Arabidopsis thaliana: one gene and its partners. The protein of the gene in region 3 purifies or fractionates together with the protein of the main gene of each other region. This does not show direct contact. Each region holds a gene or a part of one and is shown on either strand. Other genes may lie near its edges.

Region 1 (7,016 bases), on a different chromosome or scaffold from region 3:
GCTTCTCAAGCGGAGAGAGCTAAGAACGACCGTATGAGGTAATCCCCATTCATCATTCTGTTACATATCCATCTCCAGTGTGACTCTATTTTTGTCCTTGGAAGCTGATTCATTGTGTGGATTTGTAACCTCAGTGGTCGGGAGCTGTTTCTGTCCAATGCAAGCTTGTTTGTGGATGATGCTGAGGCTTGTGAAGAATACGAGAGGGAAAGAGAGCAGGAAGAGACTGAACAAAAGGTGAGCTCTCTCTCTCTCTCTCTCTCTCTCTCTCTCTCTCTCTCTCTCTCACTCACTCATCATTTAAAACAACCAAGTCATGTTAATGGAATCTTGAGTTTTTTGCTTTTCAGGCAAAGAACAAAGAAGCAGAGGCAGGGACAAGCAAGAGTAGTGGTGATGCTGAACAGAGTTCGAAAGAAGTCAATGAAGAAGAAGAAGATGACGATGATGATGATGATGACCTAGACATGGATGAGCTGGATGAATTGGAAGCAAGCTTGTCGAAAACATCGATCCAGATTCGTGAGCCAAACGACGAAGGGTCATCTTGAAATGAAAAATGGTCTAAGAGGAAGAGGTGGAGGAGAGAAAGCACATGTTTTGTTTTTGTGTACTTTCAATAGATTGGATTTTGCAGACACAAACCCCATTTTGGGGTGTTGAATAATTTCTGTTACTGTTTTACAGTCTTAAATGGCCTCATCAAAGAACTAGTAGTATCTTTTTTGTCCAATCATTTTCATCTTTCTTTGTTGTTGTTAATTTTATCATGATGTGTAAATAAAAGGTCGTAAACTTACTAGAGAAAATAAAAACTACAGAAATGTATTAAAAACAAAGAATTTTAATCAATTCTTATGAATATTTAGTTGTTTTATTGATATTTATAAATAAAGAACAAAAAATATCGGCGATATAAAAAGAGGTAAATTAATCTGAGGGCAAAAATAAGAAAAGCATCCAATTTCGTCGGAAGAAGAAATCGCCATGGTAGCCGCAACAGTAAACCTCGCGAACATGACATGGACGTCGTTAAATTCAAATCCAGCAATCTCTTTCTCCATGTTAAGCGGAATCAGAAACTTGGGCATGTTACCTTTCAGGAGATGTCTAAAGCCGACAGTTATCGGAATCGCGTCGTGGCCACCACTCCGTTGTTCTTCTGTTAAGGCTATGTCTTCATCATCGTCTTCGTCTGGATCGACATTGGAGGAGACTGTTAAAACGACTGTGGCAGAGAACCCTGTCGTTGTTTACTCCAAAACCTGGTGCTCGTAGGTTCACTATACTTTTTGGTTCAATTAGAGGAATGGGTTTTGTTAATTTATGATCTAGTTTGTCAATATTGATACTTTTACTGGGTTTGTTCTTTTTGGTGGTGAAGATACTCGTCTCAAGTGAAGTCCTTGTTCAAGAGTCTTCAAGTTGAGCCACTGGTTGTTGAATTGGATCAACTTGGTATGCTCAATTCTTTACTTTGGTTTGCTATATGGGTCTGAGTAGTTTGCTATATTGGTTTTGATAATGTGTGTGATATTGTTTATATCGATCAAGGAAGAGCTGGTTACAAGTGCCCTAATGTTTCAGCATTTTGACTGGATGAAATTAATACTTGTTTCCAACTTCTTCTTGTTTATCTTCTGGTTCATTTGGCTGCTTGCTTGAATTGGTTTGTATGTTTTTTGATTAGATTTTGATGGAGGATTGATGATGGTTAGGGGGGTTTCTAATGGCCTAAGATAGCTTTACATTTCAGAGATTCTGTGTCTTGTTTATGTGAAAAATTTACTTCCACTGTAGTTTTCCTTGGACCAATGACTTGTTGATGAAGAATCAACGGGTAGGCTAGTACTTCTAATGGCTTAAATTTTTCAAATTGAAGATTCTTTCCTGCCTTTGAATCTTAGACAGTATGCTTCTATTTGTTAGAAACTATTATGTTGCTATCTTCTTAGTTATCTTTTCTCGTGTCAAGATTTGGTGACTTTCCAAAACCATTTGTTCTTTCTTGTCTTGTTTAGTTTCTTTGGGTAAAACATCTCTGCCTCATGATATTGGTCTGAAACATTTACAAAAGTTTTGGTGGTTTTTGGCGTTTCCAGGTTCAGAAGGGTCGCAGCTGCAGAATGTGTTGGAGAAAATTACTGGACAATACACTGTTCCCAATGTTTTCATCGGTTAGTTGTTTCATCATTTAAGCCAGTTACTAACTATACTCTGATCATTTTTCTTGATTATTTTGCCTGAAAACAAAACTATCGATAAAATCTTAGCCACTACATTTGCTATGACCATCACTTATCTAATTTTGATATCATGTTTTTGTTCATGACCAGGAGGCAAGCACATTGGTGGCTGCTCAGGTACAATCTCTCTTCCTTTCTTACCTCAACACCGAGATTTTTCTAATATGTAATTGAGATCGTCTTTGTGTATTTTGGCACCAAGATAGATAGTACTCAAGATCTTGCTCAATGTCTTGTGATTTTTCTGGTAACTTGACCTGCATATCATTATTGTTGAACAGATACATTGCAGCTGCACAATAAAGGAGAGCTGGAAGCAATTTTAGCTGAAGCCAATGGAAAAAACGGTCAGACCTAGAGATTTCTAGAGATGAAACTGGTTGGTGATTCTTCATGTTTCCTTATTGAAGTCGAGATGATTTGCTGTTTGAATTTACTGTCTATATAGAGATTTTCAATAAGAATCTTGTGTTTCTTTCTACGTACAAAAAACAGTCAATGAGTCATGCTGGGTTCTGTTACTAAACCGGAGTTGCTGAGTTTGATCCACACTACTTGGAATTTGCAATCATTTTTGGGTGGCTAAATGCATATTTGGAAATCGATCTTGAGATTGTAAAAGATAAAAGATGAATTGTTGGTTAACTTTTTGGTACATACGGTTTTGTTTAAGATTACAAACAGACGAACCGGTTTAGAGATAAACCATGTCTCTCATTTTACTTCTTCCACCTCGTCCAATGCGTAGTTGTTGGTCGATATATTCGCGTAATTCACCTTGGCGAACCGGACCACAACCGGATATCGGGTCTTCGGGTCCTGACAATTTAGACCGGAATATAAGATGAAACGATATCTAACCGTTAGATCGTTAACTTCAAAAGTAAATGCATTACCTGATCAACGGCCACAACTGATCCAACGTTCTTGTACCAGTATGATTCTTTCCTTAGAATCTTGACCTGTAAGTCCTCAAAATTGTTTATAAATTTCACAGTAGCCCTATAACTCTTAATATGTATACTAAATAGACCCAGAACTTATTGATGATACCCAGTTTAGCTCAAATATTAGTCCAATCTTCTCTACTAGCATCTAATTAAGCTTGAATTTTCTTCTACCACAAGGGTTAGTTCCTTTTAATCCTGATCTAGAGGTCCAAAAACTTCATATAAGTTTCACATTGACCCCATACTTACAAAATTATTCTAAATAGTCCAGAAACTTTATTGTAATCCAAACTTGGCTATCATCAATAAACTCAAAATTTTGAAGTATAAACATGCATCAAAGATTATGTATGAATAAGTACCTTGGATCCTCTCTTTGGGCCAATTGGAGGAGGTTTAGCCTTAGCGGCCGGAACTTTCGCCGGAGCAGCAGCAGCGGTGGTGGAAGAACTATCCGACGAGGCGGTTGCCGGAGGTGTATCTTCCGCCGCTCTGACTACTAGCCTTGAACCGAAGCTTCTCATCGGCAAGAAAGACACAATGGTGGTGCTCTTTGAAGAACCACCGCCTATTGCCGCCGGGACGTTGGCCGTGAGAATAAATCCGGTAGCTGCTGACGTCATCGCCATTTGTGTGTGATCGTTGGAAGTTGTGTGAGTGATCCGAAAAGGTGGACAAAGCTTTAGATTGTTTGGGGTTAAAAGGAATCGTTTTAAACCACTTGTGATATGACACGTGTGATCACATATCAGTATCGTCTGGATAATGTGATGACGTGGCAACCTTAGAAAATGAAATATATAATTAGAGCAAAGAATCTGTAATAAGGGTTGATTGATTTTGCCGCCAAAATTCATTTCTCATCTTCTCCGATTTCAAATTCTTATGAATCGCCATGGACGCGTGATGTGAAATCTCTCATTCTTCATCGCCTTCGTGATTATAACAGCGTTTGATCCACGATTCTGTAGAACGAATTCAGATACTCGGTGATGAGAAGAAGGAATCAGCGAACGAAAGCTGGCGAAACCCTAAATAAGACCGATCCACAAATCGGATTCAAGTTTACTGATCCTTCGAGCGCTCGAGCAAATTCAGGTATCTTACAACATATATTTCGATTTCCGTGAGTTTGTGTGTGTGTTTTAATTTTGTTTCCTTCTGGTGGTTTAGATTTGAAACGCAGGAGAAGGGTGAGTTTCGACGATGCTGATCATCGGAGTCCCTTGAACGAATCTCAGGCCGGAGGATGTAAGTGTTCGCGTCTACTTCACGTGAATAAGCGTAGAGTTTCTTAGAATGTTGAATTTGATTGAAAATCGCCTGGTATTGGTTATTTGCAGCGATTGATGCCAAGACCTCTGAGTTTGCATTCTTTAAGAAGTTAAAGTCTAATTTTGGTCACTGCTCTGAATCTTCTGATTCTAAACCATCAAATAAAGTTCAACAAATTCCTAAAACCTTCGAATCCAGAGCCAAACCAGACAAAGGTTTTTGAGCTTTTCTTTGTGATGATGATGATGATAGTGTTTGCTTGGCTTTCCCCTGGATTTTCATCTATACTGTTTCATAAACCAGGATGTGCAGGAACGGACTGCGACGATAATGGTAGATCCAAGAGCTATAGCTTCTCCACACCCATTCATAGTGCCAGACGTGGGTCGTCTATGTTACATGCCAACTTGACTCAAAGGGATAGAGGTTGCTACTTCGATTTCTTGGTGCATGTTTGTGCCACATGATAAGATCTCGTGTCTCTTATCCGGATACTTCTGTAGAATCTCTTACTGGTATTTTGGAAGTAGTGATCCATAAACATTCTTCTGATTTCTGTTGTTTATAGGAAAATGTAATGGGAGATCTTCTTCATCATTCAGTAGAGATAGGTACACAGTTCCAAGTGGTGACAATCTGAGATCTGAAAGTGGAGGTAGATGTTGGATATTCTACTTCTTACATATCAAAGAAGCAAAAGATACTAGTTAACAATTAAGAGATATGATTTTGTAGTTTGAATTATCAGGAATCAGTGAAGAGAAAGGAGATATATTCTCTGTGAAGAGAAAGAAACTGCATCAGTGGGTCAAAGATACATGGCTTACTGAAATCCCTGAGCTTACCTCAAACGGGTACACAATAGTTGTTAATTTATCCTAATCTTAATACTTGTTTCTATAATGCACTCAGAAAATAATCATTTTTCAGGCATGATTTAGTTTCTGTTCTCCTAACTCGGCTGTCCCCTGGTACGGAGGAGACACAGGTAAGCTTGATAGAATCCCTGAGTATTTGTCAATTGCTTATCTTGATCAATCCTCAGCACTTTTTTTTCCTTCTCAGCCTTCTAGGTTTTCCAAGGAGACGACGGCCAGAGTCAAAAGAAGAACGTTTGTTGAATCTCCTGGCTCAAAGTTTCTTAAGAGGTCCCATGAAAGCTATGCAGAAGTTGACCACAGTCTGCATATGGAAAGGGAGAGATTGATATCTTGGCAGGGATGGCTGGAAAATAACATTACCCCGAGGCTGCAGTATCCTCACGTTCAGAGCAGTTTCATCCCAAGAGATTCCGAAGAGATTAGCTTTCCCATCTTATATCCTAAGGAATCAGTTTATCGACCTCCACTGTTGAAACAGAAGGAGTTCCTGTCGTTTCCTGTTGAAGAAAATTTGGAGTGTTCTCCCATATCTAGCCTCCATTTCAGAAACTACAAGCCTTTTTCAATGGATTATCACAGAGGAGAAATTGGATACAGCACAGAGGACTTATCACACGAACATAGAGAGCCTTCATCTGCATTACTTCTCGAGTGGAATACTGAAACCGCAAGCACCAGAAAGACAGATGATTTTCCACTTAGTTATCACACAAGACTCATCACGTATCCAAATGCATCATCCTCATCTTTGACAGACAATCCATGGTGCTCTGACTATTCTTCATCCCATGATTTGGTTACAAGGGAGCTGTACCCTTTACCTCTGCTCTCTCATTCCATTTCAGGCAGTTTCCTCTTACCAACAACGAACCAAGCCAGCCATTTTGAGCATGATGAACTCGAGAGGTATATTATTGATGACGAAGACGTGGTTGCTGCAAACCAAGAGCTCCAGACATTTCATCACACAAACAGCTCAGATTGTTTAACCAGAGATTACACATATTATCGTAATCTTTCAAACTCTCTAGTGGATCATTGTCCTTTTAAAGTCCCTGGATGTGACATAGTATCCTTTCCATTTTCCAGCATCAGCAATTCAAATTTGTTGGAAGCGTCAAGTCCTACAACGAGTAATCGTTTTAAGTCTCATGATTGGATCCCCTTTCAGTTTCAGTCACCTCAAGTTTGGATTGATTCATAGAATGGCTATGAGCTTAAGGCAGCAAAAGAAGAACTACTCGAACCGATTGGTTGCCACAGGTCAGCATCACTCTTACTTACTCACACTGATTTTTGAAGATTGTGTGGCATGTCGTTGTTCTGCATTCCTTTAAGTAACACATTTATGTTAGAAGACATAGGTATCGATGATTTTAGATCTTGTCCGAACTACATTACTGATGAATTGATTGAAGAAGATAGATGAATGATATGATTCAAACCGACATAGACTGATTATATGGTTGAGATGTTAAAAGAATCTTTATACCAAAGTTATTCATGGGGACATTAGTAATTGGTCACCATTCTTGACGATTTCTTTGTTTCTGTTCTCTGTTTTTTGATGAACCTCTTAGACTCTTCTCAACTACCAAAGTAGTTGGAACTCATTTAAAAAAAAAATCACTAACCAGATTGAGAAAGGTGGAATTTAAAAAAAA
Region 2 (7,398 bases), on a different chromosome or scaffold from region 3:
AGAGGAGCAAGTGCCGCGCGTGTACATCAAGACGTTACTCGACCGGGTCATGAAACCGGAGCAGCAAGACGCGATGATAAGACGGTGGCCACCTAGCCAAGTTTACGAATTGGAGAGCGACCATTCTCCTTTCTTCTCTAACCCTTTTGTTCTCTTTGGTTTACTCATCAAAGCTGCCGTTTCCGTCGGTTCTATCTAAAACTATTTAAAGAACTAAAGGATTGCCTTTTGTTGGTTTTAAAACCGGTTAAGTGATCAGTATTGTCGAGGGAGTGTTTATTTATTTTTGATTTTTGTGACATTTTGGTATTTTATATTAATCGTTTTGAAATAAATTATGTTTTGCTTAATTTTATCTTGCGTCACAAAAGTGAAATAAATTTCGGCAAATCGTGTAGTTTTATATAAATCACTAATTTGCAGTCTTCCAAGGTCTACTTAAAGTCCTAGCCGGTATCGACACCAACTTCACAGTTACCTCAAAAGCCTTAGACGAAGAGAATGACTCCGCTGAACTGTACTTGATGAAATGGACAACATTTCTAGTCCAACCAACGACTCTGTTCATCACAAACCTTGTAGGAGTGGTTGCAGACTTGCAGTGTTTGATTTTGCCTAATAGTTGTTTGTAGTTGATGTCTTAAGGGAACATAGGCAGCGTTTGATTTTGCCTAATAGTTGTTTTGAGGGATCAATATATTACTCGATTCAATCCAATTTTCATACCATATATCAAGAAAGATGAACAACAAGAGTCATTGTCATGAAACCCAAACATTTATTTAGCAAAAGAGTTTCAGAAAAACTGACTCAGAAGATTCCCACAAGAGTTTTTGTGAAATTTATAGGCTTGAAACAAAAGAAATTACTTCAAACTGTCAGGTTCTTGTAGAAAAGGAGTGACTTCATGCTTCAGAATCTGTGCTCAAGCTTCTCCTGTTCCTTGAAATACTGAGCATACCTGCATTCATTGTGTGTATTTGAAAGAATAAGCACAAAAGATGACTAGAAACTAGACCATAATATGCAGCACCCGTAATGTTTAGATCGATCAGGTAACTAATAGCTTCACAAGCAAGAACTCAACAGTTTTAATAGAACCACACTAATCAGCTAATGATTACGACTAAGCCATTTAAATCCTCAACATCTTGAAATGCAATTCCACAGAGTGGTTCATCAACAATACTAATTTGATACCTGGAAGACTTTTTCTAGCTGAGAGTCTCTATATACTACACTCCACTTAATACTCATCTCAAACTAACTTAAATCCTATCATTTCTCATTTGTTCCTATGACACAAACGAAGAACCCTATATCCATATGCGCCGCACAAGACCGATGACACAGATCGAAGAACAATCAACCAGATCGGAACTCGATCCAAAGGTTCCTTTACCAATCGATTGATGAGAGAGATAGAAAGAGAGATAGAGTACCAGTAGGTTCCAACGACAGGGGTAACGAGAAGAGTGGCGCTGATCCAATTCTCAGAGACCTTGTGGTGGATCTTCTCCGGCAGATCCTTCCAGAGACCGGTCATGATCTTCTGCTGAAACGGAGAAAGTGCGTAAACCACCGCCTTCAATTTCACCGGCTGCTTCCCCATTTTCTTTTTCTCTTCCCAGATAATCCCAACAACAACAATCCACAGTACGAGAACGAATCTCCCCCAAAACCTAAAATAAACAATTCTCAACGAAGCTTATGTTTTTTATCCGATTCCGGTTCAGTTACAATTACAATTGAACCGGATGACCGGCTGCAAAATTTATCCTGATTTGTTTCGGTTCGATCCGGTTTGAGTAAACCGAAATAGATAAATCACTAGTCCAGACATAAATGATGATGATGATACAGCTAGTGTTCCGGAGGAGAAGGACGATCGATCTAAGGAGACGATGAAGATCTTCCACGTTCCTTGTCTGCAAGACAACTACTCTTATCTGTGAGCCATTTTGATATCCTACTTCAATTTCGTTGCTTCTTAATCTGACTCGGTTCATCATCAGTTTAGGATTCTTTCTTCGTAAAAAAAAAACAGGATAATCGATGAGAGCACCGGAGACGCGGCGGTTGTGGATCCAGTTGATCCGGAGAAGGTGATCGCATCGGCTGAGAAGCACCAAGCTAAGATCAAGTTCGTACTCACTACGCATCATCACTGGTAAGTAAACCTCACTTCTCTCTATGTCACTGGTAACTTATCTTATTTGATTCATCTCCGAGATTCTCTGTTGGTTCTTATTACTCAGTGATATCGACATATGCTAGATTCCGGTCCTAGACATTAACATTAGTACAAGTCTATTGTTAAATCTCTCAGTTTTCTGATCAAGTGTTTAGCTTTTTCCTACTATCAGTTTCAACTGACTTAGAGATTCATCTTCGTGAGTCTGATTCTTTGTTAAAGTCTGATACTTTCTGCATTAATGTTTCACCTCTTGAAGATGCAAGATTTATTATATATGTACCATATGATGGTTGCCTTTGTCTTCGATGAAATTTGGATTTGAGGCGACGTTTTTATTTTAACACTCATTGTTTGATTGGTGGCTTGATATGATCAAAGGGATCATGCCGGTGGAAACGAGAAGATTAAGCAGTTGGTTCCTGATATCAAAGTATATGGAGGTTCTCTGGATAAGGTGAAGGGTTGCACTGATGCGGTTGATAATGGTGACAAGCTGACTTTGGGTCAGGATATTAACATATTGGCTCTCCACACTCCTTGGTTTGTTTTTTTTTTTTTTTTTTTTTCCAATGAATTTAGATGCATCTAATCTACTTGATGTTTAACTCAGTCATTTTCTCTTGTCATCGCTGATTCCTCTGATATATCTACTTGTTACAGTCACACCAAGGGTCACATTAGTTATTATGTGAACGGAAAAGAAGGAGAAAACCCAGCCGTGTTCACCGGAGATACACTTGTAAGTGGTAACATTAAGCTGAATCCTCTTGTTCTTCCCTACCATGGACCCTATATGTTCTCCGTAGATCTTTTATCTCTGTAAATGTCTAAATGGAGATAGTTATGAGTTAAACATTAAGCTGTGTTTACTTTGATTTTATACAGTTTGTTGCTGGATGTGGGAAGTTTTTTGAAGGGACAGCTGAGCAGATGTATCAGTCGTTGTGTGTGACTCTGGCTGCATTACCTAAACCGACACAGGTTTACTGCGGCCATGAGGTAAAAAAATCAACAGCTTCATTATGTCTTTTGAGTTCTTAACTCATAAAAATGGATGCCTATAAACTGAATAATCCGCTATTCATTTCTTATGGTTCTCAGTACACCGTTAAGAACTTGGAATTTGCTCTAACTGTGGAACCAAACAACGGGAAGATACAACAGAAGTTAGCATGGGCCCGTCAACAGCGCCAAGCAGATCTTCCCACAATCCCTTCAACACTGGAGGAAGAGCTCGAAACAAATCCATTTATGCGTGTTGATAAGCCAGAGATACAGGTTATTACTCCATTTGGTTCATCTTCTTGAACAATTCATGATTCGGTTTTATCAGCTATCACTGTTGATATCGATCTTTACTTTCTTGTCGTATATCGAGATTAACTTTGTTATTTTCCAGGAGAAACTCGGTTGCAAGTCGCCAATTGATACAATGAGGGAAGTTCGGAACAAGAAGGATCAGTGGAGGGGATGATGATAAATGGAGAGCTTCTTGCCTATGTTTTGTGTACTTGTGTTGAATGATCCTGTAAAAGGTGTATGAACCAGTAATGTTGATATTCTGTGTGAAACTGTGAACCGGTTTGGTAAACCGAAATCAGACCGACCTGTAAGCCGTACTCCCTTTTTGAATTTTCAGTTTACTATGGATAATAATTTCAGTGTCTACACTAATCCCCGTAAAAAGAGAGCTTCTTCATCTTCTAGCAGTCGTCCCCGTAAGAGAAGGTAATCTTCTTACCGCAGAATCCGTTGGATTTTGCCTTCTGTTGCTTCAGATTCGATTCTCGTAGAAGGTTGTCTTCGTACCTGCATTGTATCAAAAACCCTTGTGATCTCTCCCCATTTATACGAAAAACTTCACCGAATTTGCCTTTGATAACAAAAAATCTCTTAAAGGCAAAATAGTAGTTAAAAAATCCCTTACCAAAGCTTCTCTGCAAGCTTGTACCTAATTAACAAAAAATGATAACGTTAATCTTCTGTTATGACATCAAAACTAGAGCAATAACATGGAAAATCAATGTACATGTGTTGGAGAGGGTATGGAGCTATCTCAGCCAGCTCAAGAAAGATTTTGTGATAGCGCAAACTTTTACCATTCCTCTGTTCCAGCGCCTACAGTATAAAAATATTTCATCAAAACAATTTCATCATATAAGTAAGTATACACTAGTTTTCATCATTGCTATAAAAACTACTCACCTTCTCTGCTTCATTAGCAGAAGCAAACTCAAAATAGCCACAGCCCATATGCTTACCCGATTGGTCAACAATAAGTCGAACACGAACAACTTCAAAGTCTTGGAAGAAATACAACCTGTAAACATGAAGAGGATAAAACATCAGTCATGAAAAACTTGCTCCAAGAACGAAAGAGTAAACTAAAGGTGCTACTTACATCCTTTGTATACTAGTTCTAGGAGGGAGATTGGTAACAAAAAGCGTCTTTTTTCTTGCTTCCTGTATTTAGCAGCCAAGTGTGTTAGCATGGCTCTAAGGAGGTAACAGTTTTGTTATCAAACACTTGAGCATTTCCCCTCTGAGCCTGACATATTTTGAAGATGATAACAACACGCGTACCTCAACAAAATAGGGAGTTTCAGCAAGTCCTTCCACTGCTGCCTCATCTCTTTCTTGTCCAAGGTAGTCTTCGTACCTGGAACATTAAACAACCCTTGTGATCTCTACATGTATACCAAAAACTTCACCCAATGTGCTCTTGATAACAAACCCTCAAGATGCAAATAGTTGAAAATTCCTTACCAAACCTTGTGATCTACGCACCACCTAGTTAAGAAATATAATATTAGTGTTAGTCTTCTGTGGTGGCAATAAGTTGACAGCAACAAATCTCCATAACATGGAAAATTAATTTACTTGGGTGGAGGGAATGGAGCTATGTTAGCCGCCTTAAGAAAAATCTCGCCATCCTGCAAATATTCACCCTTCTTCTTTTCCAGCGCCTAGAGTATAAATAAACGGTTTAACTAATCAAATGACTGCGACTTGTATACATTACTTTTCATCAATTACTAGAAAAACAACTCTCACATTCTCTGCTTCCTTAGCAGAAGCAAACTCAACAAATCCCTTGCCCACATGCTTGCCAGTGTGGTTAACAATTAGTCGATGCTGTAAAAAAGTGGAGGATAAAATATTAGTCATGAGAAACTTGCTCCAATAACGAAAGAGGAAATCTTAAGGTGCTACTTACATATCTGATATTATAGTCTGGGGAGTAAGATGGGCAACAAAGAGCGTCTTTTTTTTACTTGTGGCAACAGCCTGCGTTTAACAGCCAAGTGAGTTAGCACGACGCAAAGAAGAAAAGGACTTAAGGTTGCACAAAAAAAAAACACAAGATTTCTGTTATTATTATTAAAGGTTTCTGCTGAGCCTGACATATTGTGAAGACAACAAGAAGAGGTACCTCAGCGAAATCGGGAGTTTCACCATGTCCTCTCATCAAAATGATCTTATGACCATGAAAATATTCACCATTCTTGTTTTCCAGCACCTACAGTATTAAAAAGATTTAATCAGCTATCCAGCTTTCAAAAAACTAGTAGTATGTTTTTCATCATAAGTTTGTATACACTAATTTTCAAAATGACTAGTAAAATACTAAAATCGTCCATCATGACTACAAAACCAGTCTCACCTTCTTTGCTTCGTTGGCAGAAAGAAACTCAACAAAGGCACAGCCCACAGGCTTGTCCTCATGGTTTGCAATAAGTCGAACACTAACAACTTCTCCAACATCTTGACAGAAACCGAAGCTGCAAAAGTGGAGGGTAAAATATGAGTGATGGGAGAGTTACTTTTTCTTTGCTCAGAGAAGAAAAGTGGGAGTGCTACTTACATATCTAATATCTTAGTTTGGGGGGAGAGATTGGCAACAAAGAGAACTTCCTGTGCATTATACAGGAACAAGTGTGTTAGCAGGAAACAAGGAAAAAGTAGCTAGCAAGATTCAGCCCCAGAAAATAAGTAAACATTTCGAGCGTTTTGAAGATAATGAGGGCAGTAGGGTGGTACCTCAGCAAAATCGGCGGGAGGTGTCTCATCTTCTTGTCGTGGAAGGAAGTCTTGGTACCTAGAAAAATGGAAAACGCTAGTGATCTCTACATGTATACAAAAAAACTTCAAAAAAAAGTCTTGTTCCCTTACCAAACCTGGTGATCTATGCAATACCTAATTAATCAAAAAATGAAAAGCCTTAGTCTTCTGTGATATTGTATCAAAAAGTCTAGCAATCAGTTACAAAACGTGGAAAAATCATGTTTACTTACGTAGGAAGAGTCAATGAAGAGCTTAGCTTAGGCACTTTAAGATAAATCTTGCGATCGAGCAAACATTCTCCATCCTTCTTTTCCAGTGCCTAGAGTGAAAAAAACGTCAGAAAATAACCTTGGATACGTTTAAACATATAACTAACTATACACAAGTTTTCAAAGAAAAAAAAAACTGGTCTCACTTTTTTTGTTTCATAGGGAGAAGCAAACTCAACAAAGCCAGAGCCAGTACGCCCACCATCTCGTTTTATAGCAAGTCGAACATGAACAACTTCTCCAACATCTTTGAAGAAAGCGACGATATGTGATAATGGGGCTCGGTGAGGGATACGGCCCATAAAGAGCGTATTTTTTTATCACGGAAGCTTCCTGAATTTAACAGCCAAGCAGAAGTTTGTGTTAGCATGACGAAAAGGACAAAACAAAATTGCATAAGGAGAGGTAGCTACCTCAACAAAATCGGGAGTGTCATCACGTCCTTCCACAGTACTTTCCTCCTCCTGTTAAGCGAGTAGCCGTTGGAACAGATTTTGGAGAACAAGATGCTTAATTTGAACATAATAAAACTTATTACAATATTAAACCTTGAGAGAGATTAAATTAGCTTGATCAGACTTGTGCTGGAGGCTATCAGCAAGTCCTTCCGGTGTCTCCTCCTGTTACATTCACATACATACATACATAAGTGGTGTATGTATTAAAAAAAAAAAGTGGAGTGATCCGACGTTACTTTCTTCTCCTCGTCCTTATGTTTCTTGAGAAACGGTTTGGTCTCCAAATCATCATCTTCCGGATTTCTCTTACCTAAAAGAAGAGCAGATCAATGGAAAAGAAAAGAAATAAAATCAACAGCCAAGTAGATAGTAGCTCAGAGCCACTGAAAACAAACCACATAAATTAACT
Region 3 (7,953 bases):
CCACCGATGTATGTTAACAGGGGACCTGTGGCTAGGAACGAAGCTCCTCCGAGGATAAATCCGATTGCTGCTCTTAATCCTTACCAGGGTCGGTGGACCATCAAGGTTAGGGTCACGAGTAAGGCAGACCTGAGGCGGTTTAATAATCCGCGTGGGGAAGGGAAGTTGTTCAGTTTTGATCTTCTTGATGCTGATGGTGGAGAAATACGGGTGACTTGTTTTAATGATGCGGTTGATCAATTCTTTGACAAGATTGTAGTTGGTAATGTTTATCTGATTTCAAGGGGAAATTTGAAGCCTGCTCAGAAGAACTTTAATCATCTTCCGAATGATTATGAAATACATTTGGACTCTGCATCAACGATACAGCCTTGTGAAGATGATGGTACCATTCCACGCTATCATTTCCATTTTCGTAACATAGGTGATATTGAAAACATGGAGAACAACAGCACCACTGATGTAATTGGTATTGTTTCGTCCATCAGTCCGACAGTAGCAATTATGCGGAAAAACTTAACTGAGGTACAGAAAAGGTCTCTTCAGTTGAAGGATATGTCAGGCCGAAGTGTTGAGGTAACCATGTGGGGTAATTTCTGCAACGCAGAAGGACAGAAATTGCAAAATCTTTGTGATTCTGGGGTATTCCCGGTTCTTGCTTTGAAAGCGGGCAGGATCGGTGAATTCAACGGGAAGCAAGTGAGCACAATTGGAGCAAGTCAATTCTTTATAGAGCCAGATTTCCCTGAAGCCAGAGAATTAAGGCAATGGTATGAGAGAGAAGGAAGGAATGCTCATTTTACCTCCATATCTAGAGAGTTTTCCGGTGTTGGCAGACAAGAAGTTCGCAAGGTAATTGCACAGATCAAGGACGAGAAGCTAGGGACCTCAGAGAAGCCGGACTGGATCACAGTCTGTGCCACCATTTCATTCATGAAGGTTGAAAATTTCTGCTATACGGCTTGTCCTATCATGAATGGAGATCGTCCATGCAGCAAAAAGGTCACAAATAACGGAGATGGGACATGGCGTTGTGAGAAGTGTGACAAATGCGTGGATGAATGTGACTACAGGTATATATTACAGATCCAGTTACAGGACCATACAGACCTAACCTGGGCAACTGCATTCCAAGAAGCTGGTGAAGAGATAATGGGAATGTCTGCAAAAGATTTGTATTATGTGAAGTATGAAAATCAGGATGAGGAGAAATTTGAAGATATCATCCGCAGTGTCGCTTTTACTAAGTACATTTTCAAGCTGAAGATTAAAGAAGAAACTTACAGCGATGAGCAGCGGGTTAAAGCAACAGTTGTGAAAGCTGAAAAGCTGAATTATTCTTCAAATACCAGGTTCATGCTAGAGGCAATAGATAAACTCAAGATAGGAGATGCAAATTCTCTCCCTATAAAGGCAGAGAGTTCCAATTACAGGTCTGATGCATTTAATTCCGGTGTTGGAACCTCAGGAACTAGAGACACCGCATCAGTCGATGCACGCAGAGAATTTGGATTACCTGCAGCAAACCAAGTGGGTCAATATGGAAATCAGTACAGTAGTGATGCAAGGTCTCTTGGCGGTTTTACTAGCTGCAACGTGTGTCGCAGCAACAGCCATGTTTCTGCAAACTGCCCAACCCTTATGAGTGAGCCACAAGGACAATACATGGGTGGCACAAATGCAGGAGGAGGTATGCCAAGGCAACATGTAGGCAGCTACTGAAAAACTTAAGTGACTATTTCACCTCATCATTATCATCAACAATGGTCAGATGCTGTTTTGACCGTCTTAAGTTTTTACTTATCTACAACATTAGGATGCTTCAGTTCCATTTTTCGTGGGTCTTTTAGTGTTTCTGTTTTCTATTTTTTTTTTTTTTTGTGTTTTTGTTTTCTTTGTATAACTCTCTTTATTACTAGATGAGGTTAAGTTTTCTGATTGAAGTAAAGTCAATAACTTTCTTTTGAATTGTAAGAGAGGTTAAAGAGGGAATTATTAACCTTTTATTTAGACCCATTTTGAAGGGATAAAACGACACCATTGTTATGGTTTACACAATTCACTGAATTACAAAAACCTTCCCTCACACACAAATATCCAATCCTTACATAGTAATTTGTAGTTTCTGAAATCAATAAGAACATTCTCTCAATAACAGAGTCCAGTTGATTTAGCAGACTCTCCAATATTTACATTGTAATAAACCTGCTTCACTCCCTCCCCTATACCACAATGTCCCCCAGAAATGCCTGAGTCGCCAGGGCTCTGGTTGTATCCAGAAACCATAGCGGTTACAGGAACCATTTTCTCAGCTACTGCTTTGAGACGGTAACGCTCAGCTCTTGACCCAATCACCTGTCCCAAGATCGAAGCTCCAATGGTCAAAGCCATGGCTGTTTTGGGCATCAGAACAGATTTCCTAAGCATTGCTATAAAAGGCACAGCAGCATGGACAGCCAAAAACCATGCAGGCGAAAACTTCTTTGTGTGTTCTCTCCATACACCTAGAGGCACATTTGCAGCCATTCCCATGAGAGCGATTGCAAGCATCTTTTCAGGTAAAGGCTGAGGGCGAAGACTTTTGACCAAAGCAGTCTTCGAAAGTGCAGCTCTAGCAGCTACTATAGGAGCTGGACATCTATATTTCATACCAGGTGGTAGCGTTAATGCTTTAGAAATAAGAGGCATGACTTTGCTTGCAGCTCTAAAAGACTTGGCGATAGGACAATTCCCGGTTTTTAACCATTCGTCTCCAACTGCCTCATGTTTCGAAGAGTCCCCAGACTACAATAAGCAAGCAATCAAGCAAAAAGATATCAGAAACAGTAACTCCTTGTAAAATTCTAAAGTTTTACACAATCTATCAAATCCTACCTGTTGGTTTTTGGAAGGTTTAGGTTTCTTCTGTTGTTTCTTCCATTTCTCTGAGAAAGGACCAAAACCAAAAGGGCCTCCAGGACCAAAAGCTGATAGGCTTATTGTAGCTACCTTACCAGCAAGTGGATTGAATTGCAGAGCACGACGACCCGCCTCATCTTCAGAATCATCAGCGAAACCAGAAAGCGGCACAATACCATCTTTCCCATGGAAGAGCTTGAATGCTGAATCAAATCCAGGACCATCTTCAAAAATAGGACCTTTACCTCCTTGCACCTATTATCCAAGGAAACATAAACTTCATCACCAGAGAATCAAATAGCATAAAAATTTATAGTTTTTTTAACCGAAAAGGTAAGAAATTCTTACCGGAATTGGAAAACTCAAGGAGGAGAAGGACAAATTGGTAGGCTTGTTGATGTTTCTCAGGAAAGGGCATTTCTGGATTATGCTTTCGGCAGCAAAGGGACACTCTTGATCCATTTTTTAGCTGAGCAAATGATCCTGAGAGATTGAAATTGATGATCAAACGAATAAATCTCAAAACTTGATTCAAGAATAAACAAATCCAAGATGAAATCAAAGAATAAAAAATCGAAATCAACATTCGAATCAAACCGAAAACAAGCTTTGAGCTTCATTTTCTGAAAATTTTAGGATTCGGCAAAAAAAAAAAACCAAAAAAAAAAAATTACCCTAAACTTAAACGTACTATGAATCAAATTCCGCCATGAAACCCTAAACTCGAATGGAAAATAGAGATCCCGCAACAATTTCGTATGAAAAACTCAGCAGAAAATCTGCATCGCAAGATCTATTTTGTTATAGAATGAAAAAATTGAATCATGTGAAACCTAGAGAAGAGATCTTTTTCGAATACATGCCAGTTTTATGAAGAATCGATATGATAAATCAGAAAAAAACAAAGAGAGAATCAATCACCTGAGAATTTTCGCCGGCAAATGAATTGCAGAGTAGCTTAGACTTTTGATAAAACGTGTGGTGAACACAGACGTGCTTTGAGTTTCTATTGAGAGTTACCGGTTTAGTCGGTAAACCCGTGAAACTCTTTTTTATAAAACCGGTGATTTCCGGTTTAGTTGACTCTGTAATGTAGCACGTGGTTGTGTTCGGTGGAGAAACTGAACCACGAAGACTATTTGGTGTTGGATAATAATGGATCGCATGCCGTTTATCGTCACTAATTATCTGATCCAACGGTTGAGATTTAGTGGGGTAGCTTTTGCGGTTGTTGTTGAAGACTTGTAGTGATAAAAATGTTAAGAATATTATATGAAAATTCTAGTTTGGAATTTTGGATTAAGAATATATATAGTCTTTTTATATATTTCCCTAGTAATAAAATAGGTGCTCTTTGGGGAGGGGATACACAGATGCTCAAGTCTTGTAATTCGAATCAAAGCTTGAAGTAAAGAAGAACTCATAACTTTATGTTAAATTCTTTGGCATATTGAGATGCTTTCTTTTCTTCTCTCTAAAAGAAACTTCCTGCAGAACTCTATTCACTACTTTGGGCGTTGTAGCAATAATCTCAAGCAGCAAACACAAAATTGTTTTTCCTCTCCTGGTATTTGCCTTAATCCCGTACAGATGTCCTGCGTCAAAAGGTTTATGTCAGTAAAAGATTGTGTAAACATAAATTAGAGCAGTTTTAGACTATTTTGACTCGATTCTGTAAATGTCAACTTGTGAGTATAGCTCTATTTGATCACATACTTGAGCATACATTTGGTTTCTTTTGCACATCTCAAAGGACTACCAAAATAAGATAGAAAATCATGAAATGCAGACATATTACTTTCCCTAAGATCGAATCTAACATGACAGAGGACTCCAAGATTTTATAGTAGTTTGTGAACCGATCATTCAGCAACAGGGGGAAATTTATACCAATTAAACTCTACTAGGGATAGACACCATTACCAGTATTATAAACCTAAACCAGTTCTATGTCAAGTTGACGCCATCTTTCTCCTAGCCAAACATGCCTTTTTCATTATTCTGTTCAAAGCATTGCATTACCAAATTTGACCAGCAACTAGCAAATATAAAAGACAGCAAAGAAGCTGCAGGAAACTAGCATAAAGCATTCATGAAAACCGATGGGGTTTGACATGACATATAAGAAACATGGAAAATATGCCTCAAGAGTCTTTCCCCTAGCTGTTCTCAAACGAGACCTCTCAGCAACTAGCAACCTAATTCATAAGTAACTTATAAAACATCAGCTAAAGAATATGTTATCAGCATTTCATCAACATAATCTTTCCATATTAAATTTATAATGCTCCGTACTAAGCTTAACAAACCAATTAAAGTATGCCTTTGGGCTTTGGCATTATTCTGTTCAACCATTTCATTCCATTCTAAACTTGAGAAACATGGAAAACACAGTGGCTCAGCACACTTTTACCAACGATTAATCATAGAACCATTCATGGATCAAAAAGCAAGCCACCCCAACATCAAGAACATGAGCCAGGACTCTATAAGTAGGATAACTAGAGTTACAACTTAGAAGCTTACTCTAACTGTTTTCAAAAGATCTCCTTCTCAATTCTAGACAGTAATTTTTTTACCTATAATGTTATGCGACCTAATTCATAAGTAACCTATAAAACATCAGCATAAGAATACATTGTCAGCATTTCATCAACTCAATCTCTCCAGATTAAAAATCAACATCTTCAGTGTAACTCACACTAATGGAGATATCAACAAGCCTAGGAAGCTTATACAGCAAAGTTGTAGCAACTACAATGGAATAAGGCTCTTGTGGCATGTTTATTACCTTAATAAAGAGTATCTTTTTCAATCAAAAGACTCTAGTTTATCAATTACCTCTAGTTAATTAGCTGGAGTTTTCGAGCTCCGAAACCCTTTTTTAAGCTCAGTAACTCTCTTCATACAAGCTGCTTTCGACTTCCCAGGTACTGCAGCTGCAATCTTCTCCCATCTCATAGCTGCCTCCTTAGGAAAAGCTTTTAAAGCATTGAGCAATGCAATGTCTTCTCCATTACTCCAAATCTCCTTAGTACCTTCCGCATCTCCACCAGCTCCAGAATTCTCTTCGTTTTCATCAACCAATCTAGGATCTGAAGCTTTCCTATTCTTTAAAAACTGAGCGTAATCATCACTCTCATAGATTTTCTTCTCACCTATCTCTTTCGCCTTCTTAATCACATTCTCTGTCTTGTATCTTCCTCCGAACGCTGAAGCCACCGTCTCCCATCTCCCAGGTTTACCAGCTGGATGCTTAATCAACTGCTTCTTCAAAATCTCGATCTCTTCAGCAGTCCAATCTTTAGTTTCATTCACAGATCCACTCTCCTTAGACTGCGGAATCACCACTTTCCTCGAAACTTCAGTCACCGCAGAAGCATTTTCCGGCGGATTATCGCTCTTCGTCGAACCTTTAGATCGCTTATTCACCGATTTCCTCCTGGATTCACGTTCGTTATCCGTGGATGACTCATCGTGAATCTGTTCTGGCTCCAAGATCTGACCATAACCGACGCGAATCTTACCTCCGGTGAGCGAGCTAGGAGCGAAAGGACCGACGAGGAAAGAGAGGGAAAGCCATAATAGTAGCGATTTGGCAGGTTCAGATTCGAAGTAGAAGAAGGAGAGAGATAATATGATGAGGGAGATTGAGACGGAGATTGAAATGAAAAGCTTGTTAGGGATTCTAGCTTCTTCTTCTTCCTCCGCCGTGTGAGAAGAAGAAGGACGAGATTGGAAAACGAATCTAGGCCTGTCTTCGTCGAAAAAATCCATTGTTGCTCTGTTGCACTGTAGAAGAAGCTGAAACAATAAATAAAACTTAGAAAAAAAAATCTCAGAAATAAGTGTTTTTGGGCTTTTGAAAGTCCATATACGAAGATTTTTGGGTATTGTAAAGCCCATATATATTAAAATTTAGCATATGACAAAATTGGTTATACGAATTTTAATTAGTTAATTTTAGAGTAAGCAAACCCTTAATTAATTAAATTTTAGTGGAAAGCGTGTACACTCGAGATCGCAGATAGAGATAGTAGGACTCAGAGAAGATTGTGCCACTAATCATGCTCTTGAGCCTTTCTGTTCAACAACGAAGCAATTGCAGAGAAATCACACGTTTGTGTACGACATTTTTTTTTTTTAACGTCGATTTATTGGTTAGTTTTATATTGCAACTATATTATAAAATGAAAATATTGTTGACGGAAAAATGGAAATTTTAGGAGCCAGAAAAAAGGGAAGGAAACAATAATTCACTATTACGAAAATATATAAACTTGTACGAAAAGTCAAGGAAACCATTTATCACCTGTTACAACTTGGAATGGAAAGCGGAGAATATATTAGGCAAAGGCTAGAGAAGTTAAATAAAGGATAAAAGCTTACGGTTCAGATTGGAGATGACGGCATTTATGAAATATCGACGGTTTATCTGTGGATAATTACTGTAGGTTGAGATGCAGGAGATTCGAGCTTAGCACCAACAGACACTACCATAATAAATAGCTTAATAATATATTCCTTTTTAGCTGAGATATTATAAAGTAGGGTTTAATTTGTTATTATCACGAGAACCACACAAATACGCGGCAAAGAGAGAGAAAGATAGAGAGAGAGAGAGAGAGAGAGAGAGAAAGCGGTGGAGTCGTGATAAGGGAGAAGCTCTGGATACAGTCTCTTCCCGTCGTCGGAGACGGAGTTTATGCCTATTGGCTCCTGAGGTAAAATCGAGATCGCCTTTTTTTATTTTGTTTCTCGTGTTTTGACTGATGCGCTTTTGATTCTCTCTTCGTTTGTTTGCTTTGAGTATATTTTTATTATTGGAGTCGCGTTTCTGAGAACTTTGGATTTGAACGTATACGGATTGGTTTTTTTATTGAATTTTAGGGTTACGCTTTTTTGTGGGTTTTTTTTTTTTTTTATGTTATCGTTTCGGTTTGTGAATTTCTTCGTTCATTCAGATCTGAGATAAATTGAGTCTATGGTTGGTTGGTTTTTATGGTAAAACTTCAGCAGAGTTGAAATTAGGTACTAGAATTTTAGATATGATGA
Region 4 (8,592 bases), on a different chromosome or scaffold from region 3:
GGTGCTTGTTTGTTGGCCAGCAAGGTGAATGTTTGTTTTTTTATATGTGATTTCTTTGTTTTATGAATGGGTGATTGAGAGATTATGGATCTAAACTTTTGCTTCCACGACAAGGTTATTGCAGACTAATATGTTGGCTGCTGGACTTGCATCTGCCAATCTTGTACTTTATGCGTTTGTTTATACTCCGTTGAAGCAACTTCACCCTATCAATACATGGGTTGGCGCTGTTGTTGGTGCTATCCCACCCTTGCTTGGGTAAATTTTTGTTCCTTTTCTTCTTTATTTTAGCAGATTCTGTTTTGTTGGATACTGCTTTTAATTCAAAATGTAGTCATGGTTCACCAATTCTATGCTTATCTATTTTGTGTGTTGTCAGGTGGGCGGCAGCGTCTGGTCAGATTTCATACAATTCGATGATTCTTCCAGCTGCTCTTTACTTTTGGCAGATACCTCATTTTATGGCCCTTGCACATCTCTGCCGCAATGATTATGCAGCTGGAGGGTAAGACCATATGGTGTCATATGAGATTAGAATGTCTCCTTCCATGTAGTGTTGATCTTGAACTAGTTCAATTTCGTGGAATGATCAGAGTGTCCTAGATAGTGTCACAGCAGTCGACATTTTAGTGGCTAGATAATGAGTTCTTTCCGTTAGAGATAAACATTCGCGAACATTGTTTCCAGCTTCCGCGACCCAACTTCTGATTTTGTTTCTTGGTACCTTGTTTTCAGTTACAAGATGTTGTCACTCTTTGATCCGTCAGGGAAGAGAATAGCAGCAGTGGCTCTAAGGAACTGCTTTTACATGATCCCTCTCGGTTTCATCGCCTATGACTGTGAGTCTTGTAGATTCATCTTTTTTTTGTAGTTTATTGACTGCATTGCTGTATCTGATTTTTGCTGTTCCTTCCAATTTTTGTGACAGGGGGGTTAACCTCAAGTTGGTTTTGCCTCGAATCAACACTTCTCACACTAGCAATCGCTGCAACAGCATTTTCATTCTACCGAGACCGGACCATGCATAAAGCAAGGAAAATGTTCCATGCCAGTCTTCTCTTCCTTCCTGTTTTCATGTCTGGTCTTCTTCTACACCGTGTCTCTAATGATAATCAGCAACAACTCGTAGAAGAAGCCGGATTAACAAATTCTGTATCTGGTGAAGTCAAAACTCAGAGGCGAAAGAAACGTGTGGCTCAACCTCCGGTGGCTTATGCCTCTGCTGCACCGTTTCCTTTCCTCCCAGCTCCTTCCTTCTACTCTCCATGATAACCTTTAAGCAAGCTATTGAATTTTTGGAAACAGAAATTAAAAAAAAAATCTGAAAAGTTCTTAAGTTTAATCTTTGGTTAATAATGAAGTGGAGAACGCATACAAGTTTATGTATTTTTTCTCATCTCCACATAATTGTATTTTTTCTCTAAGTATGTTTCAAATGATACAAAATACATACTTTATCAATTATCTGATCAAATTGATGAATTTTTGAGCTTTGACGTGTTAGGTCTATCTAATAAACGTAGTAACGAATTTGGTTTTGGAAATGAAATCCGATAACCGATGATGGTGTAGAGTTAAACGATTAAACCGGGTTGGTTAAAGGTCTCGAGTCTCGACGGCTGCGGAAATCGGAAAATCACGATTGAGGACTTTGAGCTGCCACGAAGATGGCGATGAGGTTGAAATCAATGGCGACTTTGCCGAAATTGATTCAAAGTATGAGAAAAGAAGTTCCGAAGCATTCTAATCCTGTTTTGCCCTCTCTGAGACGAGCTTTTTCCCTCTATGATCAGATCAATCTCATTGACAATGTTCCTGAAGACCAGCTTCGCTTCCAAGAGTAATCAATTCCAAGCTTTCTCTATTGTTTTTCGTCGTTGATTTTGTTTTTTACCGACTGTGTTTCTGGGTTTGATTTAATGAATGATTAGGGTTTTTGGAATTGGAAATGTATAAATATGTGGTGGTTGATTGATTCTCTTCACTTACTTTGCAGATTTAATGATACGAGTTTCACTGTGAATGGAGTCAAATACGAAGGTAGCTTACTCTGTGTTGGGAATCTGTTAATGTCATGGAGTCCTCGTAAATTTTCAGAGATCACCACTGATAGGTATCTTCTCTCTTCTCAGGCCTTTGATTCTCACCAATGTTCTGTCACAACCTTATATCGATTTGAGCTGATTTTTATGACTGTGTTTGAGTGAAAGTTGTGTGCTTTTGGCAATAGATTGGTTGAAGGTTTTCAATGTTCATTGTCATGAGAGGATTTGACAGCTTTATCAATTTGAAGTGTTTGATAAAACATTTGGTTTATTTTCGACAAGTGTTCTTTTTTTTTTTTGTCATTGAGAGCAATGGCTAAACGTTTGTATATTTCTATTTCCATGGATGCAGCTTGTCTATCTTCCAGACAGTTCGACCTATTCCAGGTAATAATATTTGTGTACCCATGAGTCATCAGTATGAAAATAAAACTGTATTAGTACCTCTGGTTGATTAACTTTTGCTGCATATTAGCTTCAATCTCAGCTCTTATTAGATATTCTAAACTAAATCATCGAATTGTCCAGAGCTCTTGATTGTTGGTTGTGGAAGAGACATTCACCCGGTAACTCCCGAGGTCCGTCAGTTTGTCAAGTCCCTTGGCATGAAACTAGAAACAGTTGATTCTGTAAGTTTCTTAATCCATTTCTACAGGCTTCTTTTCTAGTCCCAAGCTTACTTCATAACTTCTTATTCGCTTATTATATTGATTACTTTTAATTCAGAGAAATGCTGCATCAACGTACAACATTCTGAATGAAGAAGGAAGAGTCGTTGCTGCGGCATTGCTTCCATATGGAGTTACATCCTAAAGAAAACTAACAACTCGAGCTCTGGCTTTCTAAACTGTAAATGGTTTTTGAGACCTTCCGAAAATAAACCGAATTTCATCGGAGTTTTTATTGCGTTTGAGCTATATAACAAACGTTGTAACATGGTGCGACTTTATCTCGCATTTCTCATCCTTCCAAAGATATAATATCTCCAGAGACTATGTTGTATCAATGAATGAGATTTAAAGAATCTGAATTACAGTTATATTTTTAACGGAAATCGTTACGGTTAGTTAAAAACTTAGAAATGAGTTTTTGAGTATATAAAGGAAGAAGAAGAAGAGAGAGTCATTTTCTTGTAGTCAAATTCGTATCTCGCGGGGAAGAAGAAGAAAAGACTGCTTTTTCTCAAAACCCTAAAATCTCTCTCTCCGGATCCATTTCTCGAACATGGCGTCTATTGTTCAACCATCGCCTACTTTCCCGGCGCTAAATCTCCGGCGTTCTTCTCTGATTCGTCCGCCTTCTTCCGTTCGATTTCCTCTTGTAAGTCTCATCTACTTCTCTCACTCTCTCCGACTATTATCTTTCTATTGGTATTTGTACTTTATACGGTCTTCTTCGCTCGAATCTGATGAATCTTGTTCTCGATTGTTTCTGTTGGTTGTGGAATTGAAAAGAAGTGTAACGCGGCGGATCCGTACAAGTTCGACGGCGGAAACTCTGCCGGTTTCCATCTGCTTACTGGCGACACCGTTCCGGCTAGCTTTTCGAGGACACGTTTGGAAGATTCGATTTATCAGAACACCACACGACTTCGTATCTTTTCCGGCACTGCTAATCCTATTTTGGCTCAGGTTCGTTCTTAGCTTTGTTAGTCGTTGGAGTTCTTTGGATTTAATTGCAAGAATTAGTAGCTTGGAACTGAAATTAGTTTAGGAAGAAACTGATATAGACTTCGGAATTAGTAGCTTAAAACTGGAGATTTGTTCAATTGCAAAGATTAGGATTAGGAAGAAATTGGTTTAGAGTATATTCTGGAATCGTCTTGTTTGTTCATTGGTGTTTTACGCTGATGATACAGGAGATTTCTTGCTATTTGGGTCTGGACCTTGGGAAAATCAAGATTAAACGCTTTGCTGATGGTGAGATCTATGTTCAGCTACAAGAGAGTGTAAGGGGATGTGATGTGTTCCTTGTACAGCCTACATGCCCACCTGCAAATGAAAACCTTATGGAATTGCTCGTTATGATTGATGCTTGTCGGAGAGCATCAGCCAAAACTATCACGGCTGTGATTCCTTACTTTGGTTATGCACGAGCTGATAGAAAGGCAAGTCTTTTTCTATAACTATAGAATCTGTCTTGGATTCAATCGTCCTGTGAAAACATGCACAATGATTTGTCTCCAAGAGTAATCGATTGTCAGTTTAAGTCAGATCTATGGTAGTTAGTATTTGGAAGTAATCAAGTAATCAAATTGGCAGCTTAGTTATCTGTATGAAGCTGATTTGGGTTTATCGATTGTCTCATTCCTCTGGCTTCACTTAGTTTCTAGTTGAGAGTTTTTCATTTGACTCTTTCGTTGTACATATTCTTGCAGACTCAAGGACGTGAATCTATTGCAGCCAAGCTTGTGGCCAATTTGATTACACAGTCTGGTGCAGACCGTGTCCTTGCTTGTGATCTTCACTCCGGACAGTCTATGGGCTACTTTGATATTCCAGTCGATCATGTTTATGGCCAGGTAGAAAAAAGTTTTTCTTAAATGACTCCTCTGAGCATCAAGTTCCTTTTTGTGAAAATAGACTTTCTTATGTCTTCTTTTCCTTGTGCTTTAATATTCATGAACAGCCTGTCATACTTGATTACCTAGCAAGTAAGGCCATATCCTCTGAAGATTTGGTGGTAGTTTCACCTGATGTTGGTGGCGTCGCAAGAGCTCGCGCTTTTGCGAAGAAGTTATCTGATGCACCTTTAGCAATAGTTGATAAAAGACGTCATGGGCACAATGTTGCAGAGGTAGAAAAACCTTTGGAAAATACATTTTAACCAAGTCTGGATTTTGACATTTAACAACCCGTTTCATGTAGGTGATGAACTTAATTGGGGATGTTAAAGGGAAAGTAGCCATAATGGTGGATGACATGATTGACACAGCAGGTGAGTAATAAGTCACGGTCTGCATATCTGTAAACATTCCCCATTGTGCTTAGATACTTACGTTAGGTATATCATATCAGGAACCATAAGCAAAGGTGCGGCTCTGTTACACCAAGAAGGAGCAAGAGAAGTATACGCTTGTACCACTCATGCCGTTTTTAGGTAAGTCCATGAAATATTTTCTCTGTGTTGGAATTATAAAAAAAGAGAAAGAAGCTGACATATGCATTTGTGTCTATATTCGGAAACAGCCCTCCTGCAATCAGTCGACTATCGAGCGGACTGTTTCAAGAGGTGATCATAACCAACACGATTCCATTGTCAGAGAAGAACTATTTTCCTCAGCTTACAGTTCTCTCAGTAGCAAACCTTCTTGGGGAGACCATATGGCGTGTTCATGATGATTGCTCGGTGAGTAAAACATAAACACTACTTGCAATTTTCGCTTGAAGAGAACTTCTGTGTCTAATAAAGTTTTTTGATATTCTCAGGGAGCCATTGAGCCATTTTCGACGTTGGGGATTGATTGAGTGATGGAAAAAGGGTAAAGAATGTACTTATAGCCTCTCAGTAGTATGAATTTCTGATAATGTACAAACTCTTTTCCGCTGTAAAAATGTTAGACTTGAGTGTGATTGTCAAGAAGGGAACACTTTTGTAGAGAAGAAGATTTAATGGAACCACGTTTTCAAACTTTTTAAGAATACAATATTTTTTTTTTCGTCAATTTGGATCCAATCATGTAGATAGTTTACCGTTGAAGATTATTTATTTGTGAAATATCTGGATTTTATTTTATTTTATTTAAAGCCAAGTTACATTTAGACCTTAAACCTATGACTTATATAAGATATAAAGCAAACATACTCAAATTTGCAAAACGAGGAGAGACAAAATTAAAAAACGGCGGCCAAGACACCAACAAACGGAGCAACAGTAACCGTCGCAGGCTCAGCTTGCTGGAAATTACTCCTCTCATCTCCATAAACATCGTTCTCGTTGGGTCCTCCGACAAGTGCTCCCATTAAAACGTTAGGGTTTGGTGCAGGATTGTTATACCATTTATCATACCCTCCACTACACGTCACTGGTGTTTTGTCCTTTCTGATCGATACTATGGAGGCTGCTCTATGGTGTGGTTTTTTGGGATAATTGGTCCCAACTCCAACCATGTAGCTCATTTTCTGGGGGTTCGACCCAAGTATATAGTCAACCTATATAACATGAGGAAATCGCAAATTAGTATATATTATATTGAAAAAAGTCTTGATATATTTTCAACAACATGTTTTATAGTTGGTACTATATTAGGTTTTATTAACTACCTGGGAACGAGCGATTTGGAGAAGATCAGAAGCTTGAAGAGCACCTTTGGGACATTGGATGGAGGCTTTTGCCTTTGTGAGATACTTAGAATATGCTGAGAGAACGAAAGAAGCGGTTGTGGTGTATTGGAGGTTGTTCCACGGCAAGAAGTAGAGCAAACCGCCAGGGGTTTTCTTAACGTTGTTGGAACCTTTTTGAGCACAGTTGCAGATAAACTGCTCTGCCATACTCTTGTACTCTGCGATCTTTCCATTGCTCCCTACTTTCCGTTCAAGTGCAAGCTGCATTTGCAAAACTTTGTGTTATGTTTGTTTCTTGCCACATAAGATAGTGATATGTTTTCTTTAGTGAAATAGTCATAACTTACCTTGGCCATCAAGACTTGTGCACCCACGAACTTATCGTCCCAGGCAAAAACACTTCTTGGACCTCCGGTACCAGATGCTTGTGTTAGGTAATTGAGATAAATCTGGTCGTTAGTAGCACGGTGGAGCCAAGCTGCAGCCCACAACAACTCATCTTCGTATCCACTACTCGCGTAGAAGCCACCCGCGTTAGTAATGGAGTTTTGGTAAAGGCCAGGGTGAGCCTTAGCGAATGCAAATAAATCTTTTGCATGACCAATGAGTATATTGGCATAGGCTTTATCAAATGGTGCGAAGGCGATAGACGCTGCCGCCATTGCGGCAGCTGTCTCACCTGCTAGGTCAGAACCTGGATGTTGAGCATCGATGCGGTATGAAGTACGCGGAGTGGTCATATCCTCAGGTCTCATCCAGCATTTGTGGTCCGAGTTTCCCTCACCCACTTGTCCGTACAGGACATTAGGCTGAGGATGGGCTTTAATGAGATAATCGGTGGCCCACTTGAGAGCCCTGAGCGAGTTTCCTTGCTCGTGGTGGGCCCTAAGCTCTGATCCCATCTCTATGTTGCTCCAAGCTAGCATCGTCGTAGTGAACGCTAAAGGAAATCCAAACTTCATATTGTCTCCGGCATCGTAATACCCTCCGGTGAGATCAATCTATTTTTACAATTAGCAAACAGTTTACTTCAAGTAATAAATATTCATTACACAAAAAAATATGGAATAAAAATAAGTAATTGGATATTAAACTTACATGAGCATCAGAACCATCTTTGAGTGCAGAATCTCCTCTCCATGTAACTTTTTGGTTCGGAGGCAATTTTCCAGAACGTTGAGCTTCAAAATACAAAAGACTCTTTTGGAGAGCTTCTGCATAATTTGTAGAAACAGCTCCACGAGCCATCGACATTACTAGTACCACAATGCAAATACTTGTCCATAAGCATTGTGAAGATCCGTTTTTCGATTGAGACATCTTTTTTTGATAAATCTTTAGACGATCTCAAGACCAATTGTACAATAGATTTTACTTTTTGCTTGTGTTTTGGATGTCTATGTCTATGTATGTATTCACTATTTATAGAGAATCTATAAATGATGGAGTCCATGGCTAGTAAAGGACTTGCTCAAAAAAAAAATTAGCTAAAAATGTTGTAATCTGTTATTCAACTAAGAATTAAGAATTTTAGAAGACTTTGGTTTTTCTTTAATATCTCATGTTATTCAAATATTGAGTTCTAAATATCTTTCCAAATCCTAGTTTAGTACTGAACATGAAACTTAGGTAAAATCATTTACACTTTCTTGTTATTCAAATAATCATTTATAAAAGTCATATGAAATCCAATGTTATTCAAAATTTCTTAAATTTCTTAAGAAAGAGTTTCGGAAAGGGTTTTAAGATATTTTTAATCACAATTTTAGTTGAAAATAGAGAAAAATCACATTCTTGATAGGGATGTCAAATGGGCTGATGATCATGTCATAGAACAGTCCAAATTATAATGGTTAGGCTATGATCAAACCCAAAGTCGAAGGAGTCATATAGGCTAGAAACTCATTTACCCTACAAACCAATGGGACTAACTCATCTGGACAGTGACAATCCAATAAGCCTTAAAAATTAGGGTTACTAATTTGAAGATATTTTTTCCTCATTTTTCTTAAAAAACAATAGTTAAAAAGGGGTTGGATTTGGGAAATTTGAAGTTGAAAAACATTCCCCGGAAAATTGATGAGATGTCGACGTTGGTTTAGTTTACATTTTGTGTTAGTTGTCTTTGGGAATTAAGCCTGATCCAATAATAAAGGAAGGATTTTAATTACAGCTTTGACAGAGGATTGTTGTACTTCACAGTAAAGTCCAAGCTTGAAAGTCAGGGAAAAGTGAGGTACTCAAAATTGCGTTGTGTAGTATAT

Evidence for each region.
Region 1: the proteins of AT5G45410 (region 3) and PSAE-2 purify together in Arabidopsis thaliana (affinity purification with mass spectrometry, with the first as the bait; one large-scale study listed by BioGRID). This does not show direct contact.
Region 2: the proteins of AT5G45410 (region 3) and AT3G10860 purify together in Arabidopsis thaliana (affinity purification with mass spectrometry, with the first as the bait; one large-scale study listed by BioGRID). This does not show direct contact.
Region 4: the proteins of AT5G45410 (region 3) and AT2G44530 purify together in Arabidopsis thaliana (affinity purification with mass spectrometry, with the first as the bait; one large-scale study listed by BioGRID). This does not show direct contact.

Annotation. Positions count from the first base shown.
Region 1 is NC_003071.7:8,733,589-8,740,604, reverse strand, and holds PSAE-2 (photosystem I subunit E-2), read right to left. Parts: upstream 3,872-7,016; 5' UTR 3,826-3,871; coding exon 3,559-3,825; intron 3,209-3,558; coding exon 3,143-3,208; intron 3,066-3,142; coding exon 2,961-3,065; 3' UTR 2,838-2,960; downstream 1-2,837. Other genes in the region: AT2G20280 (Zinc finger C-x8-C-x5-C-x3-H type family protein), read left to right, coding at 1-38, 135-237, 351-551; AT2G20270 (Thioredoxin superfamily protein), read left to right, coding at 988-1,274, 1,385-1,458, 2,022-2,177, 2,337-2,363, 2,528-2,604; AT2G20250 (uncharacterized protein), read left to right, coding at 4,189-4,294, 4,370-4,447, 4,540-4,686, 4,775-4,897, 5,040-5,126, 5,220-5,325, 5,402-5,459, 5,537-6,362 and 1 more.
Region 2 is NC_003074.8:3,394,029-3,401,426, reverse strand, and holds AT3G10860 (Cytochrome b-c1 complex, subunit 8 protein), read right to left. Parts: upstream 1,853-7,398; 5' UTR 1,613-1,852; coding exon 1,443-1,612; intron 962-1,442; coding exon 913-961; 3' UTR 672-912; intron 616-671; 3' UTR 501-615; downstream 1-500. Other genes in the region: MES17 (methyl esterase 17), read left to right, coding at 1-199; GLY2 (Metallo-hydrolase/oxidoreductase superfamily protein), read left to right, coding at 1,905-1,951, 2,048-2,170, 2,576-2,737, 2,858-2,936, 3,083-3,196, 3,299-3,475, 3,597-3,671; AT3G10845 (RNA-binding (RRM/RBD/RNP motifs) family protein), read right to left, coding at 3,901-4,006, 4,125-4,148, 4,227-4,315, 4,403-4,517, 4,599-4,660, 4,781-4,856, 5,078-5,163, 5,252-5,332 and 9 more. UniProt on the Arabidopsis thaliana protein: Component of the ubiquinol-cytochrome c oxidoreductase, a multisubunit transmembrane complex that is part of the mitochondrial electron transport chain which drives oxidative phosphorylation.
Region 3 is NC_003076.8:18,399,923-18,407,875, forward strand, and holds AT5G45410 (zinc finger B-box protein), read right to left. Parts: upstream 4,026-7,953; 5' UTR 3,820-4,025; exon of another isoform or gene 3,573-3,819; intron 3,382-3,572; 5' UTR 3,361-3,381; coding exon 3,247-3,360; intron 3,154-3,246; coding exon 2,875-3,153; intron 2,785-2,874; coding exon 2,149-2,784; 3' UTR 1,986-2,148; downstream 1-1,985. Other genes in the region: RPA70C (Replication factor-A protein 1-like protein), read left to right, coding at 1-1,722; maMYB (Duplicated homeodomain-like superfamily protein), read right to left, coding at 5,746-6,675.
Region 4 is NC_003071.7:18,380,463-18,389,054, forward strand, and holds AT2G44530 (Phosphoribosyltransferase family protein), read left to right. Parts: upstream 1-3,052; 5' UTR 3,053-3,269; coding exon 3,270-3,365; intron 3,366-3,499; coding exon 3,500-3,676; intron 3,677-3,903; coding exon 3,904-4,152; intron 4,153-4,422; coding exon 4,423-4,566; intron 4,567-4,673; coding exon 4,674-4,841; intron 4,842-4,912; coding exon 4,913-4,982; intron 4,983-5,062; coding exon 5,063-5,144; intron 5,145-5,233; coding exon 5,234-5,393; intron 5,394-5,473; coding exon 5,474-5,512; 3' UTR 5,513-5,746; downstream 5,747-8,592. Other genes in the region: COX10 (cytochrome c oxidase 10), read left to right, coding at 1-24, 125-258, 380-505, 736-839, 929-1,269; AT2G44525 (NADH dehydrogenase ubiquinone 1 alpha subcomplex assembly factor-like protein (DUF498/DUF598)), read left to right, coding at 1,668-1,840, 1,997-2,113, 2,398-2,432, 2,574-2,674, 2,772-2,858; GH9B9 (glycosyl hydrolase 9B9), read right to left, coding at 5,879-6,196, 6,308-6,589, 6,676-7,329, 7,427-7,648.